Linked DNA regions of Canis lupus familiaris. The protein of the gene in region 2 interacts with the protein of the main gene of each other region in a biochemical or structural test. Links are inferred from orthologs where the notes say so. Each region holds a gene or a part of one and is shown on either strand. Other genes may lie near its edges. The genes, in order: U2AF2, pre-mRNA-processing factor 40 homolog A and MECP2.

Region 1 (7,684 bases), on a different chromosome or scaffold from region 2:
TCAGATACTAAAGCAATACACTTGATTATTGGAGATAAAATATAGGAGATATGCGTTGAATTATTTCAGGAAAAATGAAGTTGGGAAATTAAGAATGACAAGTGAAGCTGGATGATGGGACACGACGATACTACTCTATGTGCCACAATGGAACTAAAGTGACCTACCATAGTAGGTCAGTGTGGTACTTCTACTTTTATGTATGTTTGAAAAGAAAGACAAAGTTTACAAACAAAACAGGAGGATCTCCGACACCAGGCCGGTCTTCCCATTCATCCTTCCCACAAATACTGACTCAGCCCCTCAGGAGCCAGGATCCATCCCAGCGCCCATGAGGCATGAGGGGAGCGGGTGCTTCCATCACACCACATACACCACACCAGTGAGGACTGGGAAGCAGAGCACGGGAGGAGAGAGAGGAAATGCTGCTCATCCCTTCATCACCCCCCCCCCAACCCTGTCCCTTGGTACCTGGCTCTCTTTCCACTGCTCCCTGGGCAATCCTATCCAGCTGACACCAAAATGAGGATCAGTGTGTTGATGACATCTGTTTCTATCAGAAATGTTTCCCTCATGCCTGGAATGCAGCTCCGTCCTCACTGCTTCACACATCTCTAATGAGGTGTCTCAGGACCTCAGACTGACAGCCCACTCTTCCCCAACACTGACCCCCACCCCCCACCCCCAAACCTGCTCATCTCCCTTGCTTCTCACCTGCCATCTCCACCTAGCTGCCAAAGCCCAGGAATCTGAGCATCTTGACTCCTCTTCCCCCTCCCAAATCAACCACCAGGATCTGGGTGTTTACAGGTAACGTGTCTTTCAAATCCATGGACTGACTTCTCTCCATCCTCTGCTGCTACTTTCCATCAAGTCACCATCTTCCGACCAAGTGACCATAAGCTGTTAGTTCCCAAAGTTCCAGGTCATACCACCACCACCTCTACCCCCCTCTGAATTCCCTGCCTGCAGAACCCAGCTCTGCAGGACTGGAGTAAGACCTGGACCTCCCTGTAATTCCTGTCCACGCCTACTTGATTATGAGGAACTCTATGTGCAAGGCAACAGACCACATTCCTGAACTTTCAAAGGCTTCCTTCTCACTTCAAGAACACCCAACATTCTTCCAGGACCCACACAGGCCTACAAGATCTGCCACACTAGGCCCCAGCTCCCAACCTCAGAACTCATCTCCCACTGCTCTCTGCTTAGACTATGCCAGCCTTGTCACCATCCCCAAACACACCAGGCTCATAACCCAGGAGATCTATGTTCATTGGGTTCCCTGCTCAGGACCCTACTACCTGGGATAACCTATTATCACTTGGGCCTGGTTAATATCAACTCTTAACCTTGACTAAGAGGTGTCTATTCCTGTCTAAGAACAGCATCCAGAGCAGAGCAATTCTACTCCCTTTCCAGCTACTATCACACATGTTGTCTTTGACAAGGCTGGCCCCAGGACTTGTTCTGCTTGAAGGCCTGAATCACTAGGTGAGCGGCTAGGGAAAGCTAAGTCACCCACTCTTCCCTGCCTCTCAAGAAGGGTTCAAGGTGCTGACACCTAGCACAGTGCCAGAAGTGACAGGACCCAGTGGGCTGTGGAATCAGACCATGTGGCCTGCATCCTCTGAGCAAGGGCTAAGAGAGCTGCCATGAGAGTTCATGTTGCAAAGGTTAAGCTCAGGGAGTACCTGGCACCCAGAAGACTCGAGTGGGTTTGCTGCTGTTCTGTTTTTAGCACTTTTCTCCCCACTTACAGACAAGACCGAACCACATATGTAAGATCACATGACAAAGCCAAGCTGTGAAGCACAGCTGCAAGACCACACTCCTGGGGGACCCTATACCCATGTGAGTCATAGCACTGGTGTGTACCCATGCACACATGCACACCTTTCCACAGCCGGGCACCTCGACGCCATCCACAGGCCGGGGGATCTCAATGGACTTGACAAGCCCATACTTGCTGCACTCATCTCGCACATCCTCCACAATCTCCTCATACTCCTCATCGTCTAGCAGCTCCTCGGGCAGCACCATGTTCATGAGGCACAGGACCTCCGTTGGGTGGCCGCCCATCTGTACCTGGGAGCTCATGAGGCCCGGCACTTGCAGGGTCACGGGGGTCTGGTTGATGGTGCTCTGTGGGGAGAAGGGGGGAGGGCAGGGCTGTCACGGCCAGGGCCACACCGAACCCCCAGAGGCCTACCCAGAGAATCACGTCCGCCCCTGAAGGCCCAGGAAAGCCAGGGCTGGAGCCGAAGCTTCTGAGGATCTGCTCCCAGCATCCCCCAGGCCACCCCGCCCCGCCCCTCCCCAGTATCCCTCTAGCCAATGGAAGATGACGTGCCGGGGGGCTCACCAGCGTGGCATTCTTGGCTCCCACACTTGCCCTCTGCACGAGCAATTTCTTATCTCCCAGCTGCATCCCATTCAGCCCCGCAATAGCCTGTGTGCGGAGGACAAGGGGGGGGGTGCAGCAGAAAGGTGCGGGTCAGGTGCAGGACTTGACGCCTCCCACCAAGCCCCAATACCCCAGAGCTGGGCACTGGTGGTGAGAGGAAAGGCCAAAGAGTGAGCACCTGGCAGGAGCCGGAACCAAGGGGAAGGGGCCCAGTCCCCCACACAGGACCCTACCTAAGCTGGCCTCCTCCCACCCATCCCCAGGAGGGCGACTTGGGAGTGGACACAGCAGGGCAGGGGCCCGGGCTCACCTGATCCGTAACGTTGATGTCCACGTACTCACAGAAGGCGTAGCCCTTGGAGAGCCCTGTGGCGCTGTCCTTGACCAGGTTGAAGGCCTTGAGAGGCCCAAACGACGTCAGCAGCTCTTTGACCTGCGGCAGGGCCGCAACTCCGTCAGGGCTGGTTGAGGTAAAGAGTGGGAGGGGAGAAGCCAGAAGGAGGCGAGGGATCTACCTGGTCGTCGTTCAGGTAATTGGGTAAGCCCCCGATGAACAGCTTGTGGGCAGAGTCCGGGACCACGGTGGACACAACTCCTGGGGGGAAGGGGAGTACATAGGCTTTGGTTTCCAGCACAGGGTCTTTAACCAAGACCCCGGGGTGTGTGCACAGGGCCTGGCCCATTATATCAGCCAAGGTGGCCCAGCAACGCTGACAAAACCACGGTCTCCCAAACCTATCCAGACCCTAAGACTCACACTAGCAGCTCTTCTTCGGATGTGCCACGACACCAGGGTGGCACCACAGCGAGGGTCCCCACTAAGGGGCCACACCTCAAACCTGCCAACCACAAGTCCTGGCAGCACTCGCCCTTACTGGTAAGACATCAGGATGACACACCTACACCCCCTCCGTCTTTCAGATCACAACCCCAATGCCATTCCTACCACCCAGACGTTTACATCAGGTCTCCCGTTGAGACCCTTGGTCCTTCTCTCTGTGGTCCCGAGCTTTTTGCAACCACAAAAACCCAGCAACTCCCTCTTTGGCCTGCTGCTCTGGGTCTGCGAAGGCAGGGACATGCCCAGTCGACTCAGCTTGCTGACCTCAGGGACATCACAGTGGGCTCATGTTTGTCGGCTGAATGGTTTAATGACTACTCTGCATCCACCCCAATCTTGCCATATCCACTCAATTTTGGATTCAGACACAAGTGCCTGCCAGGTGGCTCAGCCTGTTGTCCACTGGCTTCAAAAGCATGTCGTTTAATTCCCAGGGGCCTCCTGTGAGGTGTGAGCTACCCAGAGCCCCAGATCACTATCAGGGCTCATTGGAAGAGAAACACCACTGGTCAGGCCCGACCAGTTCCTGACTTTCCAAAGGCCAGAGCCCACTACCAAAAGCAGCATGGCCCGGCCCACCTCAGCAGTCCACACCAAGCAGCCCCTCCACACTTCTTCCTGACCTAGCTAGGGTCGGACAGGTGAAATGAAAGATGGCAGAAAGCATCAGACACTGAGTGACTGGACACAAAAAAGAGTGCATTTTCTCCTGACACCACCCCAGCCACTTCAACCAGAGCTAAGCACCATCAGAGTGGGGCCTGTGGGGGGGTGGGCAGACCATGAAGATCCAGCGTGTCCAAGGTAGGCTACGCAGAGGCCACAGGCCAGACACCACAGGTAAATTCATGAAGTCTACTATCCGTGCTCTCCAAAGCCCTATCCAGACAGGATAAACTGAGGCAGAGAAAGTTGGTTCTATCTTGGAGTCACACACACAGAAAGAGGGGTCCCCAAGCCCATAACACCTGTGCCTCCCACAGGCAGCTCTCGGCAAGCTAGGGACTTTACACAGGTACCAAAGCTCTGAACGATGGCTGACTAGGCAAAGCAGAGATTCCATCACCCCAGTAGGGAGTAGTGGCAGAGCCAGATGACCCTCAGCCAGCTGGCCTTGGCTGCTATCTGCTGTGCCATCCACTCCAGGGAAGCATGCAGAGCTTAGGGCACCAGGGTCAGACTCCCTGGGTTCAAATCTGGGGTACAGCACCAAGTGAGGCTCTATGTGTTCGCATCTATGACACAGGAGGATGAGGATGACCCACATGGGGCGTACACCTGAAATAGGGCCTGAGACCAGAGCTATAAATGACTGCAGACCCTGAGTGAACGACGGTTCTGAAGCAGGGGACTATTATCGTACAGAGTCACACAGCCAGAAAATGGGGATACCAATCAATCCCAGTGCCCAAAATCAAGCCCCTGGCAACATCCGCTCCCAATAGGATGGGCAGGGCAGCCCGGGTGGCTCAGTGGTTTCGTGCCACCTTCAACCCGGGGCCTGATCCTGGAGAACTGGGATCGGGTCCCACATTGGGCTCCCTGCATGGAGCCTGCTTCCTCTGCCTGTGTGTCTGCCTCTATCTATGTCTCATGAATAAATAAATAAAATCTTAAGAAAAAAAAAAAAAGGATGGACAGGCTCCTCCTCCCTGACCACACATCCACTCCTTCAGAGGGTCCACCTGGCACACACCTCCTCTCTGAAGGCCACACTAGACCCCCAAAGGCTGAGCAATCTTTCCCTGTGCCTAGAATACCACTTTCTCCTACCATGCACTCACCACCAGACCAGGCAGAATAGGACTCTGCCAAGGGAGTGGGTATAAGGGAGTGGGTACATGGGGGTGAGGCCCCAGTGGCAGGAGCCTGATGAGGGGGCGGGGGGGGGGGGGGGATTAGGACTCGGCCCTGCACGGGGAAGGGAGCCTGGCATGGCAGTGGGCGGGTGCTCACAGCTGAGCTGAACTCACACTGAATAACTACTGGGCTCCCCTGCTTCCAAAGACAGCTCTGGCCCACCCCCCACCTCAGTCTCCCTCTTGTCTTCAAAGAACCACCAGGATCCTGTCACCAGCACTCAACAGCAAGGCCTGACTTCAGGGGCAGATGAACTCAAGATTTCACAACCCCAAGTGATGCATGTTTAATCAACACATTTCCATCAAGGTCAGAAAGTTGCCTTCCAGGTTCCTGAACTGTTTCTCTTCCAGCCAAGAACATCTGCTAAATTTTATCACACATGCTTTCCTCTTTAGCCTCCTTGTATAATAAAATTGTTTTTTTTTTTAAACCAAAAAATGAAGACTGAAATATGAACTTCGCTATGAAAAGGTAACTAGAAGATGCTCAATCTACAAGCACAATCACACTTCCTGCCACCTGCCCAGGCACTAGTACTGCAGACCCTCAGGTCCCTCTGGGTGAGCAAATCCCAAAGAACAGAGATGGATGATGACCCACGCTTCAGCTGCTTAGTCACGCCAATAGTTACGTCTAGAAAGGGGCCCATGAATCTGGGAAGACGATCCAATACAAGCTATCCCTGACCCGCGAGGTCTCTGTTCCCACACGGTAAAGGGCCTGTGTCAGAAGGTGCTATGGAAGACCGCACAGCACCAACTCTAGAGACCATTATCATGCCTTGCCTTGCTCTCCTCCGGTCTGAAACAGGATCGCGGTACACACAACAGTGGCTGGCAAGCCTCTCACCAAAGAGCTGGGTGGCAAACATTTTCAGTTTGTGGGCCACGGGGTCTCTCATCCAAACTGACCGCTGCTGCAGAAAAGTCATACAGACGCTAGACAACGAGTGGACTCGGCTCTGTGCCAGTTAATCTTTATTTAAAAAAATGGGCAAGGGGCACCTGGCTGGCTCAGAAGGTGGAGCACATGCCTTTTGCTGAAGTACATGGAGTACAGTGAGTACATGAGTACACACCGGACGCAGAGCCCACTTTAGGAAAACAGGCTTACTGGTAAGCTACATTTGACCCCTAGCTGTCAGTTGCAGACTTTGTACTACACAGCTGTCACAAAAACTAACCTGATCCATGGACCCCACTCGGCAAAGTGCCTGACATAGTAAGCTTCGACAAGTAAGCAGGCTCCTTATATAATTAAAAACATCTTAAGAAGGGATCCCTGGGTGGCTCAGCAGTTTGGCGCCTGCCTTTGGCCCAGGGCACAATCCTGGAGTCCCGGGATCGAGTCCCATGTCAGGCTCCCGGCATGGAGCCTGCTTTTCCCTCCTCCTGTGTCTCTGCCTCTTTCTCTATCACAAATAAAAATAAATAAATAAATCTTTAAAAAAAAAAAAAAAAAATCTTAACACCTGGGTGGGGGCAGCCCTTGGTGGCGCAGAGGTTTAGCGCTGCCTGCAGCCTGGGGTGTGATCCTGGGGACCCTGGATCGAGTCCCACATCAGGCTCCCTGCATGGAGCCTGCTTCTCCCTCTCCCTGTGCCTCTGCCCCTCTCACTGTGTCTCTATGAATAAATAAATAAAATCTTTATAAAAAGAAAAAAAAAAAAAGAACACCTGGGTGGCTCAGTGATTGAGCATCCACCTTCAGCTCAAGTCGTGATCCCAGGGTCCTGGGAGTGAGTCTCAGGGAGGTTGCTTCTCCCTCTGCCTGTCTCTACCACTCTCCCTCTCTCATGAATAAATGAATAAAACCCTTAAAAAAATAAACCTTAAAACACTAAATTTATTTTGCACAGGGGCGCCTGGCTGACTCCCATCAGTTAGGTACCAACTCTTGATTCTGGCTCAGGTGTCATGATCTTGCAGTTGTGGGACCGAGCCCACAGTCAGGCTCTGCCCTCAGTGTGGAGTCTGCTCCAGATTTCGCCCCACATCCAACCCCACCTGCGCACATGTGCACGCTTTCTCTAAAGTAAACTCTTAAAAAGAGATTCACTTTAATACAAAGCAACGGCCTATAACTTCATCTAGAAATGCTCTCACAGACGTGCACCCACACAGAAATCATCTGATCAAACACTTAGTACATGTCAACATCGAAAAATACGCCTCAGTTACCGGAAACATTAGATCCACCAAACTTACCAAATTTATTACGGTGGAAAACACTGGAAACAAGGCAGGGAACCAGCACCCAGTCCTGAGGTGTCACCCTCTCTGGGACTCCATGTCCCCCGCTTTGTCAGCAGTGGACTCGATTTCTAAAAGGTGTCCTTCAGGGCGAAGCCTCAGCCAGCAGAAACCCACCTTCTGCTCCTCCCCCCCACCCCCTGGCCCAGACCATCCATGCCTACCACCTTTACTGGGAGAACACCAGGGACCTAAGATCCAGGCCCCCCAGTTCCACCACAGCACTGGCTTCTCCAAGCCCACTTTGCTCCCTGCACTCCAACAGGGCCTCCCAGAGGCACAAATCCTCACTTTCACCCATCTCACCACAGGGGACGGCAA
Region 2 (7,684 bases):
ATAGTATAAAGGGCCCAGTCAAAAATTACCACCTGTAAATGGTATATGTTGCAGAAATTAAAAAGTTTATGACGATTCAGGTACTAGAAGGAAATACTAGAAAGAAAATAAGCAGAAAGTAATTGTTGCTGAAATTACGAAAAACAAATTATTGTAGAAAAAAATAAAAGTATAGGGATGCCTGGGTGGCTCAGCGATTGGACATCTGCCTTTGGCTCAGGACATGATCCTGGGGTCCGGTCGATCCACAGGGAGCCTGCTTCTCTCTCTGCCTATGTCTCTGCCCCTCTCTGTGTGTCTCTCATGAATAAATAAAATCTTTAAAAAAAAAAGTATAAAAGGATATATAAAATACCATCCCAAAACTTTCAATGTCTATCAGAACACTGAAATTTACATATATGTAATTAATAATCATTCAACATGCTGGAGTATGTATCTTTTTTTAATTTAAATTCAATTAGCCAATATATAGTACATCATTAGTTTTAGATGTAGTGGTCAGTAATTCATCAGTTGTGTATAACACTCCGTGCTCATCACATCACGTGCCTTCCTTAATGTCCTTGACCCAGTTACTCCATCCCCCACCTACCTCTCCACTACAGCAACCCCCAGTTTGTTTCCCAGAGTTAATAGTCTCTCATGCTTTGTCTCCCTCCCTGACTTTTTTCCCCAGTTTTCCCTCCCTTCCCTTGTAGTCCTCCCTCCCTCTCCACTATTGCTTATATTCTACATATGAGGGAAACCATGTAATTGTCTTTCTGTGATTGACTTATTTTACTTAATTACCCTCCAGTCCCATCTATGTTGATGTAAATGGTAGGTATTCATCCCTTCTGATGGTCAAGTGATATTCCATTGTGTATATTATATATATATAATATATATTATTGTGCATTAATGTGTATATTATTATATATATTATATATATAATACACACACACACACACACACACACACACACACCACCTTTCCTTCACCCATTCTTCTGTTGAAGGACATCTCAGCTCCTTCTACACTATGGCTATTGCAGACACTGCTGCTATGAGCATTGGGGTGCACTTTTACTCCATTTGTATCTCTGGGGTAGATAATAGTGCAATTGCTGGGTCATAGGGTAGCTCTATTTTTAACTTTTTGAGGAACCTCCATACGGTTTTCCAGAGTGGTTTTACACCAGCTTGCCACCAACAGTGTAATAAAAGGATTCCTTCTTCTCCATATCCTCCTCAAAAGGTCATTTCCTGACTTGTTAGTTTTAGCCATTCTGACTGGTGTGAGGTGGTATCTCATTGAAGTTTTGATTTGTATTTCCCTGATGCCAAGTGATGTTGAGCAATTTTTCATGTGTCTGTTGGCCATCAGTATGCCTTCTTTGGAGAAATGTCTGTTCATGTCTTCTGCCCATTTCTTGACGGGATTATTTGTTTTTTGGGTGTTTTAAAGTTCTTTATAGATCTTGGGTATTAGCCCCTTAACTGTCATTTGCAAATATCTTCTCCCATTTCACAGCCTGCCTTTTAGTTTTGTTGACTGCTTCCTCTGCTGTGCAGAAGCTTTATATCTTGATGAAGTCCTAAAAGTTCATTTTTGCTTTTGCTTCGCTTGCCTTTAGAGATGGGTATTGCAAGAAGTTGCTGTCATCGAGGTCAAAAAAGTTGCTGCCTGTGTTCTTCTCTAGAATTTTAATGGATTCCTGTCTCACATTAGGTCTTTCAACCATTTTGAGTTTATCTTTGTGTATGGTGTAAGAGATTGGTCTAGTTTCATTTTCCTGCATGTGGCTGTCCAACTTTCCCAGTACTGTTTACTAAAGAGACTGTTTATTTTTTTCCATTGAATATTCTTGCCTACTTGGTCAAAAGATTAGTTGACTAATAGAGTTCGAAGTCCATTTCTGGGTTGTCTATTCTGTTCCACTGACCTATGTGTCTGTTTTCATGCAGTACCATGCTGTCTTGATCACAGCTTTGTAAGGCATTAAGATGCTCCCAACTCTGGCATTCTTTTCCAACATTCCTCTGGCTTTTTGGGGTCTTTCCTGGTTCCAAACAAATCTGAGGGATTATTTGTTTCAGCTCTGTGAAAAATGTCATTGGTATTTTGATAGAGATTCCATCAAATGTGTAGATTGCTCCGGGCAGCATAGACATTTTAACAATATTTACTCTTCCAATCCATGAGCATGGAATGTTTTTCCATCTCTTTGTGTCTTCCTTAATTTCTTCCATAAGTGTTCTGTAGTTTTTACAATACAGATCCTTTACCTCTTTAGTTAGGTTTATTCGTAGGTATCTTATGATTTTTAGTCCATTAGTAAATGGTATCAGATTGGATTAAAAAACAAGACCCGGGGATTCCTGGGTGGCTCAGTGGTTTAGCGCCTGCCTTCGGTCCAGGGTGTGATCCTGGAGTCCCGGGATCAAGTCCCAACATCAGGCTCCCTGCATGGAGCCTGCTTCTCCCTCTGCTTGTGTCTCTGCCTCTCTTCTCTCTCAAGTCTGTGTCTCTCATGAATAAATTAAAAAAAAAAAAAAAAAAAAAAAAAGCAACCAAGACCCATCCATATGCTGTCTACAAGGGACTCATTTTAGACCTAATGACACCTTCAGACTGAAAATGAGGGGATGGAGAACCATTTACTATGCAAATAGACCTCAAAAGAAAGCTGGGATAGCAATCTTCATACTAGATAAATTAGATTTTAAACCAAAGACTGTAGTAAGAGATGGAGACGGACACTATATCATACTTAAAGGGCCTACTCAGCAAGATCTATCGATTATAAATATTTATGCTAATTCGGGAGCAGCCAATAATACCAACCAATTACTAACCAAAGTAAAGAAACAAATAAATAATAATACACTTCCACAACCCACTCACAGCAATAGACAGATCAAAGCAGAAGATCAACAAAGAAACAAGGGCTTTGAATAACACACTCAACCAGATGGACTTCACAGATAATCACAGAATATTCCATCCTATTGCAACAGAACACACATTCTTCTCGACTGCACATGGAACTTTCTCCAGAATAGATCACATACTGGGTGGGTCACAAATCGGGTCTCAACCAATACTAAAAGATTGGGATTATTCCCTACATATTTTCAGACCACACTGCTTTGAAAAACTCAAATCACAGGAGGAAATTTGTTAGGAACTCTAACACTTGGAGGTTAAAAAGCATCCTACTAAAGAATGAATGGGTCAACCAGGAAATTCAAGACTTAAAAAGATTCATGCAAACTAACAAAAATGAAAATACAACTGTTTAAAACCTTGGATATGGCAAAGGCAGTCCTAAAAGGAAGCATATTTCATTACAAGCCTCTTTCAAAAGACTAGAAAAATCTCAAAAACACAAGCTAACCTTTCACCTAAAGGATCTGGAGAAAGCACAGCAAATAAAGCCTAAGAGAGAAGAGAAATAATAAACATCAGAGCATAATTTAACAAAATAGAAGCCAAGAGAACAGTAAAACAGATCAATGAAACTAGGAGGTGGTTCTCTGAAAGAATTAATAAGGCAGATAAAGCCCTAGCCAGACTGATCAAAAGGAAAAGAGAAAAAACCCAAATTAATAAAATCATGAATGAAAGAGTTCATGAGCGACACCAAGGAAATACAAATGATTTTAAGAACATATGAGCAACTATATGCCAAAAAATTAGGCAATCTGGAAGAAATGGATGGACTAGAAACTTATAAACTACCAAAACTGAAACAGGAAGGACAGAAAACCTAAACAGACCAATAACCGACTCTTTATATTGGGATTGTGAGTTGGAGCTCCAGGATGACTGCAGACATTATTAAAAAAAAAAACAAAACAGGTGCCTCAGTGGTTTAGCTGGTTGAGCATCCAACTCTTGCTTTATGATCTCAGGATCCTGAGATGAAGTCCCCATGTTGGGCTCTGCGCTAAGAGGGTAAGTCTGCTTTCCTTCTCCCCCTGCCCTCCTCCCCCACACAAGTGTGTATGCTCTCTCTCTCTCAGATAAATAAATCCTTAAAAGATGAAATAAAACGTAAAAAAGGGCACAAGGAAATACATAAAAATGTTACTGTTGTGCTTTCAAATATACCATGTAGATTCCTTTTTCAACTTCTAAGCATCAGAAAAAAATTTAAAGCTATTTTCACTTTGGGAGCTGTACATAAAATAAAAAAGAATATTTAACAAGAAGTTGGGAGATGAAATCAATGTTTAAATATTAAGAAGATGGGTGATCATGTATGGAATGTGACATCACAGTTAACAGTTATTTAAAAAATATATGTGGACATTAAAGTCAAGAAGCATAGCTCAAGGTTACTTTTTATATCTATATAAAGCACAGCCATAGGAAATATGACCAGATGATACAGAATACACGCACATGTAAACTACAGATTGACAGATACAGCTATTTTGTCATTAAAAAGTTATACCAATTTAATTACACCCTACTAAACAGTTTTCTTACACCGTAGTAAATCTTTATTTTTGTCTACCTAATCTTTGCTTCTATTTGTTCAACATCAAACTATAGCACTTCCTTGCAGAGTTGTGCTAAGTCATACTTGAGCCTGTTGCAAAATAATTAATAATACTAATCCTGTCTCTATTTAAAATTTTGTTATTTTAATAATCATGGGCTTTTCTGCATTAGTTTTGACTTAAAATTTAAAATTGCTGCACGGTAACTGACATATCTTGATTGCTAAGGTGCTTGGAACTCCTCTTTAATTTGTCCCTCGCCCTGTGTCTCTGAAGTCTGGTTTATAAAACTGAGGAATAGTTTTTCAAGAATTTAAGACCATGAGCCCACAAAATTCAGCCTTGGTAATGATTATCTAAAGGTTCATGTTTTGATTCTCAAAAAAATTTTAAACACTCAATGGCTATCAAGTAAACTCAAAATTTCTTCCATTAATGAAGTCTTAATTTTGCAAAAGACAAGTCACTGAACTTACTCGGATACAGTTTCTTGCTTAGCTGCTTCTTCTCCAGTATTACTGGATACTTCCATACTCTGATCCTGAACAGCAGGAGTACTAGTAAGTTGTGCTTGTTCTTCAGTTGAAATCGTCACTGTATTCTCGTTATCTACAACGGTAGCAACAATTGAAGTAACCTCAGGCTCAGGAACAACTGGACCAGTTCCACCAACAGTATTTGAAGCAGAGGTGGAAGCACTGGCATTGGCTGCAGCCGCAGCAGCAGCAGCAGCTGCGGCTGCAGCAACAACAGCGGCAGCGGCTTCTGCAGCAGCCATGGTGCTCATGGTGGTCGGAATTTCTGTTGTAGGAACCGGGGCTGTTGATGTTGTGGTGCACTCTTCTTGCTTACTATATATTAAAAAATAACAACAACAACAAACTGGTCATCTCGTTAATAATCAGAAAGCCATACAATATAGTCTATCATAAAATCAAATGAATAAGATTTATAAAAGAGAGAAAGGCAATGTGACAAACTATTAAGCTATCTGAGAAGACTAAAAACAATGAAACTGGATTACTTCAACTTAACTGAGCAAACATCCAGGATAATATAGCATAGGGACTCATGCAACAATCTGCACTTCCGGAAGTCCAACAATCGTTTTCAATCACAAAATGCCCTACTATCACATTGTATTACATACCATAAAATTTGTCCTATATCATTAATTTCTATATGAACTTTAAATTTTATCCACTTCATATATTCAAAGAACACCTGGATACAGGAATTAAATCAAACCAAACTTTGGACTTTTCTGTAACACAGGCTTCTTAATTCAAAGGATGTAATCCAAATTCCAATAATTACCATCTAGCAAACTGTCCTTTGTATATATCTTGGTAAATATTCTTTTCCCTACCCCAAATCCTCCAAAGATATCACACCATCAGACTGAACATGGTAAATATTATTTACACTATAAAGCAAATATTTAAAACAAGAATGTTACATATTGGAGATCCCAAATTTGTAAATTGTACTGATGTCCAAAACGGCTTACCTGCTTTCTTCGGCTTTGATCATTGCTATTAAAGAGAAAAAAGAACAGTTACCTATGACATGGTTTTTAAATACAATCAATGAAAACAAACTTTAAAGGGAGATAAGGAGAAGTTTCTCATACAGTAAGATTTTAATTTACCATCCAAAAAACCCAAACTTTTTCAGAGCAAATGCTTGCTCCAAAGTTCCAGGACAGCAATTAAAGAATGAAGACAAATTTAAATGACAGCAGTTTTTAGTAAAGTTTCTCTGCACACTGCTACTTTCCCAAAGGCTATTGGCTATTGCAGAACTCAGAATATCTGTATAATTCTGGAATAAAACAGCATTTTCTCTGGGGGGTTAAACTATTTGATCATTTTAAAGGTACCAAATTCAAAATGAGACCAAATTCATATTATGAAATTCCAGCACATATATACTAGCATTGACAGGTAGATAGATAGTTATGCACACCAACTATCTTGTAGTAGGGTTATATCAGAAATGAGCTTGATATTTTTTACATGAATAAAATGGGAATCTACCTATCTACATTATTATTAGCCAATGCTAGTATAGAAATTTAAAGAGCTTTAAAGACTTGCATTCAGTATTTCAGCTTCCATTCCAATTAATTTTTTTTTATGAGTAACAAAAATATTCAGCATCATTAGGGAATGAGATGGTCCACATAATTGGTAACAAAGCTGAACTTTATCAAAGTACTTAAAAAACTTATCCCCCTTTAATGGAAATCATTTCAGAAAGCAGGTTTAGGACGTCTGACAAAACATACTATAGGAGTCATCATTACTAACATAAATTAACATATTTTTCAGATACAATGATGATCCAAGCTAATTACGTGACACAGGAAAAAGGTAAGTAGACTTAAGACCATAGTGCCTTTAGGAAATTTTTATTCTCTTCACTGTCAGATGTCATTCCACACTGATGACTAATTTACTGGCTCCATTTCTTAAAATGCTTCTAAGCATTTTACTTAAGCAATTACTGCTAAGTTGATAATTAATGACACCAGATTCTATTTCAAAAGTGAGAGTAAAAGAACTGAATTCTCAATTTTCACTCTAATCTCTATTTGAAGAACTGGGTTTTATATTAAGTAGTATTTCCCAATTTTCAGGGGTATTTTGAATAGTTAAGGATAATGAAAAATACTCCCTTTGTAAGTGAAGCATGGTATTTTTAAAACTCCTCCTATAACAAACATAAAAGCTAATTTGCAATGTTGTGTTAAAATAAAATCAGCATTAAATGCATAGTCTGATAATATATTAAAATTTTAAACTGAACTCAAAGGCTCTCTGCTATCTGCTACATGGGTGAAGTCACATATTATATGTATGTCTCAACAGCTGTATTTATAAATACTGTACATGATGCCCTTATTCAATTTTCCAATGGTAAATTAATTTTTTAAATCAAAGTATAATTTTAAAATTTACAAGCTCATTTATAATATAACCCTTAAATGAATTTTTAATTAGAGATTTCTCACTGCAGATTTACCCAATTATGGTTAGTGAACATTAGTAACATACTCTAAAAAATGTTAAATAATGACAGAAAATGAATTATCAAAGCAGCTCACCATGCAGGTTTGATTTTGTAATAAGACTTCCAGCAACAATGGTATTCTGGTATCCTAGTTTCAGTGGAATCAAATCAAATAA
Region 3 (8,299 bases), on a different chromosome or scaffold from region 2:
TCTCCCTCTGCCTGCCACTCCCACTGCTTCGTGCTCGCATGCGCTCGCTCTCTGTCTGTCTCTCTCTCTCTGTCTCTCAAATAAATAAAATAAAAGAACTAAAATATTACAGATTGAATTAAAGGCCCTTTTATTCTTCATCTTAGGTGCTATTAAAAATTCATTTGTTAGACACTTAGGGTTTAAAAGGCAAATTTTGTTATGAATGTTTTATCACAATGAAAAACTTAAAAAAAAAAAAAAAAACCAAAACAGTTCATTCAGGCCCAAGTCAAACTCTGAGCGCAGCTGGGTCTCCTCTGTGGCTAGTATCAAAAAACTATGTTCTTCTCTCCTTGAACTTCTAGCCATGGATGTGGCTATAACCCCCATGTGTTCCTGGCCCAGGCTTTCCTGTCCTCAGTGGTACCACCATCCTTCCAGGCATTGGTGATAGTGCTTAACTCATCCCATCCCCTCACCCACACCAGGCTTTCCTCAGCTCTGTCACTCTACCTCCTGGTCATTTCCCAAATCCTCCACTGTCCCCACCCTGGGCCATGGGAGACCACTGAAGAGGCTTCTCACAGGTGCCCCCTGATTTCCACACAGCAAGTAGTGATCCTTTAAAGATAAGAGCTCTTGTCCCTTCCCCTGCCCAAGACTCCCCAGTAGCAATCTGACAAAGCCCTCCACATCCCCCTTGAGGCCGCTCTGCTGCCCAGAACCACCTTCTGGCACACAGCTGCATGATTCACCCCTTGCTTCTTGTAGGATTTTCTCTCTTTTCTCCCTCATTGTGATCCAGTCAGTTTGTTCTTTCAGATACTCACCTTGTCATGGTGTCATCTAGTGCAAGGAGTCCTTTTAGCCACCTCCTATGTCCTTTGACTTTCCCCTCCTCTGTCCAAGCACTCCCCTGCCTTTCTGCCCTCACAGGCCACCGTAGAACCACAACCACCCACTTCTCCCAGGGCCAGCCTGGTTCCCTCCATGGATGCTGGACATGTTCCCTAACCCTGGGTGCCATATCAGGCCTTAAAATATGTCCCACCAAGGATATGCAGAGCAGTGTGGTCAGAGGTATTTGAAATAAATTTTCTCTTTGGTGTGGTATCAGTTTGATACATGGTTCAGTTTGTTTGTGTTTGCATTCAATACAGTAGGGTTTTGGTACTGTTTACTTTCTCATTTTGGTTATGTAAACTTTTATATGATTCAGAGAGGTCTTGCCTTGCGCCTATACCTTAGCTCGTTCCCACCCATCCTGGGACTAGGAAGTACTTCTTCCCTTGTTTCTCACGTGAAAGGCATCCTGTGATCTGTAGGAGATCCAGAGGTGCTCCTTCTCAGCCCTCTCAGGCTGCATGGCTCTCCATGCTATAGGCATGGCATCGTCCATTCAGTACGTCTTTGTTGGTAGCTCTATGAGTTGTATGCAGTACTGGGTCAGGAAAAATGATGCCGTTAACAAATAATATCATAGACTTAACTGTTTGGCATTTCTGGGGGTGTGTCTTTTTAGGGTAGAGTTCTAGAAGGGATTGACCTTGATGGCATCGACACCCTTGATTGTATCTAAGAGGCATTCCTGGGATATGTGGTTTGTACTTGACCTCATGGATGGTTAAACTATTTGGGGAATATAAATGAGTGTTCTGGAGAAACCAAACCTTTCCCATGGGTGCAGTGTTGTCTGCCGACTCCAGGACTATCCAGGTTCCAGGGAGTAGCCCTGGCCTTCAGCGGTGGCCCGTGGACTGTGTGGGAGTGGTCATTCCAGTTCATCTGCCACTCTGCTGCTGGCAAGCTCCCCTTCTCCCCTCTGTGTTGGGGGACTACAGGCTATAGGCCACACCAAGCTTCTCAGGATTCTTCCTCAATTCCTGCTGAAAGGCTAATAAGACTGTGATAATTGAAAACTAAGCTCTGTGCTGCAACAGATTAGAGACCCTCACTTTACAGCAAGAGAAGATCTCCTGTGGGCCGTGGGCTAAATCAGGGTCACCATGGCAGCCATGCTTTAGAGTCCTGAGCTGCTAAAGGATGACCCAGGATAGGGAGGAACTCAGGGACAAGCCTGTCTCCCAACCCCTGACCTGAGCTGTTCAGAAAAGGCATGTTCTCATGGTGCCAAGAGTCCTGATACTAACCCACCTTTGGCAGCTTACTGACATCATTTGAGTCTGGTTTCCAGTACATACCACAGTGCCTCCATTGGAGTCTCCACAGTGTGAACAAGGGGGTTGCTTGGGGTAGACTGGCCATGAGGCAGTGACCAGTGCTGACACGAGCCACATGGGACAGGGCAGCTCTAGGGCTTAGATATCAAGGGCAGGAATAGTCTCATTCTCTTCTAGACTGAATTGCTGAGAGACCAGCAGATGGCTGGTTCCAAGCCTCCCCAGCGTGGGTGGTGTTCCTGCCCTCTTAGCCCTGCTTTAAGAACACCACGGGCGGACTGATTCCAGGGTCCAGGGCCTTTCCAGTGCACACAAGGAAGGGACCCTACCAGGTGGAGCCAAAATAGCAGGAAGGAGCTGCTCTGTCAGTGTGAAAGCATAAGGAGGTGCCCACCCTGGAGTGGGGAGGGTGCTCTTCTGTGCCTTTGTCCTTGCTCTCCCCTTCTACTGGTTGAGTGTAAGGCAGTCATGGCTTGTAAAGGAATGTCTGATAATAAAAGTTTAGCAGACCTGGGGTGCCTTCTCCTCACTCCAGAACCCTGGGCAGCAGTTTCTGGTTGCCCGAGTTGGCTAGTGTTTATATGGTGCTTTTGTGACTTTTCTTCCTCTGGGGTGTTGGTGCCTATTACCAAGATGAGGAAACTAAGGCACGGAATGTTGAGGTCACTTGCTCAGGTCCATGTTTAGAAGTTGCCAAGTCAGAATTTGAGCTCAGGTTGGGCTGGCTCCAAACCTGTGTGTTTTCTCCACAGCACTGTGCTGTGCCTTATCTCCCAAGGGGGTAGTGCTAGGCTCTGCCACCATCAGTAAGTTGCATCGTGCTCCCTGACTGTTTTATCAAGCACACATTTGAGAAAACTTACAATACAGAAGCTATACTAACACCCAAGCCAGGTCTTTCGTGAAGAGGAGCCCTGGCCACATTTTGGGTGGGCAGCTCCCTCTCCAGTAGTCAAGGGCCTCTTGTCAGCCATGAAGTCTAGAGACTGTTGGGCACAGCTTGTAAAGTGGCCTCTTCCGAGGCAGTACACTGAGAAGCCACCTAGTGTTTCTACCCAGAAAAATGCCGCTCATTCTCCTGCTTGTTAGGAGTGGGACTTGGGACAGAAGGACTCAGAGTGGTCACAGTGCAGGTAGGGTAAAGCCCAAAGCCCCCAAAGAAATCTTTGAAGGAGAAAGGCATCAGGATCTGGGTGAGCATCGGTGGGGCAGCCCTGTCTCTCAGAGCCCTGCCTGTGCTGGGGTGCCCCAAACCCGCCATTGCTTACTTTTTCTACAAATCGGTGTGTTCCCTGTGATACTTACATACTTATTTAACACTTCAGGGAAGAAAAGTCAGAAGACCAGGATCTCCAGGGCCTCAAGGACAAACCCCTGAAATTTAAAAAGGTGAAGAAAGAGAAGAAAGAAGACAAAGAGGGCAAGCATGAGCCCCTGCAGCCACCGGCTCACCACTCTGCTGAACCAGCAGAGGCAGGCAAAGCGGAGACCTCAGAAGGGTCAGGCTCAGCCCCAGCTGTCCCGGAAGCTTCTGCCTCCCCCAAACAGCGACGCTCTATCATTCGTGACCGGGGACCCATGTATGACGACCCCACTCTGCCTGAAGGTTGGACCCGAAAGCTTAAACAAAGGAAATCTGGCCGCTCCGCTGGGAAGTATGATGTGTATTTGATCAAGTAAGTAAGGGCAACTCCTGTCTCTACAAAGCAGGGAAGGCTGGGTGGGCAGGAGGCTGGGGCCAGGTGCTGAGAAACTAATGGGGATCCCTTAGAGTGGCAGCTCTTTTTTTACTCGATGATCAGGAAAATGTGTGTATATCACCCATCTTGGGCTGGGGGTGGCTTCAATAATGAACACCACTTGCAGACCCCTCCAGGTATGTTTCAAATGACTGTGTACAGAGTTCACCGCCCTGAGTGTGACTTTACCCCACCAGCCCTTGAGGTCTTGTCTGGAGATGGCATCGCAGTAGGGCCTACCCAGGGCCACAGTGAGGACACAAGAAAGAGAGGTCGCCTGAGAAACATTGAGGACACAAGGCCCTGCCCAGGCTGGTCCCAGAGGCCACAGGACCTGCCATGTGTAGTGGCCTGTGCTTGGAAGGCAAGCAGGGCTCTCTGGGTTCCTCTCATTTCCCAGCTGGGAAACATCCAGCTGATGGGCTCTTCTCAGAACCTGTTAAACAACTCTTCTTTCTGTCAGTCATTCCGTGACTTGGCTGCATGACCCAGAAGAAGTAGGAGTTCAGAGGGCTCAGTCTACTCTCTGAATCATGTTGGGAAAGGTGAGCTCTCTGACAGGGCCTCTGGGGACACATTGGTGTCTCTTCATGTGCCTTTCCAACTGTCATTGGTGCATTTGTCCAGCTTTGAGCTGGTCATTGGGCATTTTCTATTGAAACAGTGTAATTCAGGGATCCCTGGGTGGCGCAGCGGTTTGGCGCCTGCCTTTGGCAGAGGGCGCGATCTTGGAGACCCGGGATCGAATCCCACGTTGGGCTCTCAGTGCATGGAGCCTGCTTCTCCCTCTGCCTATGTCTCTGCCTCTCTCTCTCTCTCTGTGTGACTATCATAAATAAATAAAAATTTAAAAAAAAAAAAAAAAAAAAAAAAAAAAAAGAAACAGTGTAATTCCCAAGCCAGAGCTTCAGAGAAGGACTGAATAAATACATTTCAGTTCTGGCCCTTAGATGATCCAGAAAAGATAAACAGTTTATTTGCAGACATCCTCATTTGATCGCAACAACTCTGAGAAGGGTGAACAAAAAGCATTATCCTACTGACAGATGAGGAAACCGATCCCAGAGAGGCTAAGCAGCATGCCCAGGTTCAGACAGAGAGGAGTGCTTTACTTACTGACTGGGCCCAGGCACCAACCAGCAGAATGCCTGCCCCTCAGCCTTCTGGCTCAAGCGGGTCTCCAGGCCAGGCCCCTTTGGGAGCCAGAGGAGGGGCCTTGGTGGTAGGCGGATCCTCAGGGGCAATAGCTGCAGAGCAGCTGACACCCAGCTGTTCTTGTCACTGGAGCACACCCTGTGGGTGCTCTCCGCCGCCCAGCAACCCAGTTGCTTTGTGTGTGACCATGCCCCTCTAATTTCAGCCCATTTTGGCTTTTCTCTAATGTGACTCTCATTGAATAGTATCATCAGGCAGGTCAATTGCAGAACGTCCTGTCACAGAATTCAGCACATTCTTCCTGCCCCATCTTTGTACATTAGCGGGGAAGCTTCTAATCGTTCTTTGTGTCTCTCCATTTGTTCCCACAGTCCCCAGGGAAAAGCCTTTCGCTCTAAAGTGGAGTTGATTGCGTACTTCGAAAAGGTAGGCGACACCTCCCTGGACCCTAATGATTTTGACTTCACGGTAACTGGGAGAGGGAGCCCCTCCCGGCGAGAGCAGAAACCACCTAAGAAGCCCAAATCTCCCAAAGCTCCAGGAACTGGCAGAGGTCGGGGACGCCCCAAAGGGAGCGGCACTGCGAGACCCAAGGCAGCAACATCAGAGGGTGTGCAGGTGAAAAGGGTCCTGGAGAAAAGTCCCGGGAAGCTGCTCGTCAAGATGCCTTTTCAAGCTTCGCCCGGGAGCAAGGCTGAAGGGGGCGGGGCCACCACGTCAGCCCAGGTCATGGTTATCAAACGCCCAGGCCGGAAGCGAAAAGCCGAGGCTGACCCCCAGGCCATTCCCAAGAAGCGGGGCCGAAAGCCAGGCAGTGTGGTGGCAGCTGCCGCCGCAGAGGCCAAAAAGAAAGCCGTGAAGGAGTCTTCCATCCGGTCCGTGCAGGAGACTGTGCTCCCCATCAAGAAGCGCAAGACTCGGGAGACGGTCAGCATTGAGGTGAAGGAGGTGGTGAAGCCCCTGCTGGTGTCCACCCTCGGCGAGAAGAGTGGAAAGGGACTGAAGACCTGCAAGAGCCCCGGACGGAAAAGCAAGGAGAGCAGCCCGAAGGGGCGCAGCAGCAGCGCCTCCTCACCCCCCAAGAAGGAGCACCACCACCATCACCACCACTCAGAGCCCCCGAAGGCACCCGCGCCGCTGCTTCCGCCCCCGCCCCCTCCCCCACCTGAGCCCCAGAGCTCCGAGGACCCCGCCAGCCCCCCTGAGCCCCAGGACTTGAGCAGCGGCGTCTGCAAAGAGGAGAAGATGGCGAGAGGAGGCTCGCTGGAGAGCGACGGCTGCCCCAAGGAGCCAGCTAAGACTCAGCCCACGGTCGCGACCGCCGCCACGGCCGCAGACAAGTACAAACACCGAGGGGAGGGAGAGCGCAAAGACATTGTTTCATCCTCCATGCCAAGGCCAAACAGAGAGGAGCCTGTGGACAGCCGGACGCCCGTGACCGAGAGAGTTAGCTGACTTTACACAGAGCGGATTGCAAAGCAAACCAACAAGAATAAAGGCAGCTGTTGTCTCTTCTCCTTATGGGTAGGGCTCTGACAAAGCTTCCCGATTAACTGAAATAAAAAATATTTTTTTTTCTTTCAGTAAACTTAGAGTTTCGTGGCTTCAGGGTGGGAGTAGTTGGAGCATTGGGATGTTTTTCTTACCGACAAGCACAGTCAGGTTGAAGACCTAACCAGGGCCAGAAGTAGCTTTGCACTTTTCTAAACTAGGCTCCTTCAACAAGGCTTGCTGCAGATACTACTGACCAGACAAGCTGTTGACCAGGCTTCTTAGGGTATGCCTGCACCTCCCCTCCCACCCAGACCTCCCCCCACCCCCCATGTGCTCATTAGGGACAGAGAGTGGTTGAGAGGACACTCCCAGTCTCAGCTCTCCTCTCCTCCCGCCCTGCCCCACCCCCATCCCCCCAGCTCCTCCACCTTCCCCATCCCTACCCACATTGGGACAAGGAGGTGTGAGGCAGGAGAGACAGTTGGATTCTTTAGAGAAAAAGACAGAGATGGCCAGTGGCTACAGCCTGTGTGATCTCACCCATGGTGGCACAAATCTGGCCCCACGCCAGCCCCAATCCAAAACTGACTAGGACATTTCACAGGACAGGGAAGTAGTACCTGTTCACTCCAGTTCTGGCATGGCTAGGAGGGAGTCAGTCCTTTGAGCTGCTGGGTGTAGACTGGCCTGAGCCAGAGGAGAGGATGGCCGAGGGCCGTTCTCCAGTGGGTGGCGAGAGAGAGAGAGAGAGAGAGAGAGAGAGAGAGAGGCCGTGGAAGCAACGGGACAAGGCGTAGGCAGGCTGGCCCCGGGCTCCTGGGCTCCTCCGGGTGGCACAGAGCAGTGGGGCTCATGGAATTCCTAGTTGCTCAGAGCAGTCTGTGACTGGTAGGTAGAGGCCTAGTGGACAGGTTGGGGGGCCAGGGGGAAGTAGGGGAAAATGTTCTTCCAAAACTTTCCAATTCTACTCCTTTAGGGACAGCTTAGAACTATTTGCACTATTGAGTCTTCATGTTCCCACTTCAAAACAAACATGCTCTGAGAGCAAACTGGCTTGAATTGGTGACACTTTGTCCCTCAAGCCACCAGACATGACGGTGTTTAGAACTACCTGGATCTGTATATACCTGCGCTTGTTTTAAAGTGGGCTCAGCACATAGGGTTCCCACGAAGCTCCGAAACTCTAAGTGTTTGCTGCAATTTTATAAGGACTTCCTGATTGGTTTCTCTTCTGTCCTTCCATCTCTGCCTTCTTTCATCCATCCTTTCATTTCTTCCCCTCCTCGTTCATCCCTTCTGTACCAGGCACCCACAGTTCCAAGCTTTACCTGAGCTGATGCTGGTCAGCTCAGGCCCCCAGATCTCACCCTGCCCTTGGCCTTCCCACTGCCAGCCCTAGCCCCGACCCAGCCCATTCTGAGGCCTGAGGAAAACCCGGGCTCTGCTGAGTCCACCTGGCCCTAGCACCCTGGCCTCTCCGAAGGGCAAGAGAGCAGCAAGATCTTGCTCTCTGAGGGAGCTCCCTTCCCTGGTCAGACCCTGGATTCTGGGCCTTCTCGACCTTCTATCCAAGAAAAGCAAGCAGGAGAAGTTGGACAGATTTGGATTTGGAAGCTGAGGGTAGCACAGAGGCCCCCATGGCCTGCCATAGTCACCGAGTAGCCCAGCCCTGACCTTGACCTCGCCAGGCCCAGCCAGCATAGTGCAGTGCAATGGGGCGGCAGGTGGGAAGAAATGCAGACGCCCCAG

Evidence for each region.
Region 1: the proteins of pre-mRNA-processing factor 40 homolog A (region 2) and U2AF2 form a complex in vitro, tested with the Homo sapiens proteins (2 studies listed by BioGRID). The link is inferred for Canis lupus familiaris from reciprocal best matches to the Homo sapiens genes PRPF40A and U2AF2.
Region 3: the proteins of pre-mRNA-processing factor 40 homolog A (region 2) and MECP2 form a complex in vitro, tested with the Homo sapiens proteins (2 studies listed by BioGRID, with this or other methods). The link is inferred for Canis lupus familiaris from reciprocal best matches to the Homo sapiens genes PRPF40A and MECP2.

Annotation. Positions count from the first base shown.
Region 1 is NC_049222.1:102,842,355-102,850,038, forward strand, and holds part of U2AF2 (splicing factor U2AF 65 kDa subunit), read right to left. Parts: intron 3,003-7,684; coding exon 2,923-3,002; intron 2,841-2,922; coding exon 2,718-2,840; intron 2,453-2,717; coding exon 2,354-2,452; intron 2,146-2,353; coding exon 1,897-2,145; intron 1-1,896. UniProt on the Homo sapiens protein: Plays a role in pre-mRNA splicing and 3'-end processing. By recruiting PRPF19 and the PRP19C/Prp19 complex/NTC/Nineteen complex to the RNA polymerase II C-terminal domain (CTD), and thereby pre-mRNA, may couple transcription to splicing.
Region 2 is NC_049240.1:55,429,701-55,437,384, forward strand, and holds part of pre-mRNA-processing factor 40 homolog A, read right to left. Parts: intron 7,657-7,684; coding exon 7,603-7,656; intron 6,029-7,602; coding exon 6,004-6,028; intron 5,345-6,003; coding exon 4,970-5,344; intron 1-4,969.
Region 3 is NC_049260.1:123,058,750-123,067,048, reverse strand, and holds MECP2 (methyl-CpG-binding protein 2), read left to right. Parts: upstream 1-3,487; 5' UTR 3,488-3,740; coding exon 3,741-3,838; intron 3,839-5,427; coding exon 5,428-6,511; 3' UTR 6,512-6,644; downstream 6,645-8,299. UniProt on the Homo sapiens protein: Chromosomal protein that binds to methylated DNA. It can bind specifically to a single methyl-CpG pair. It is not influenced by sequences flanking the methyl-CpGs.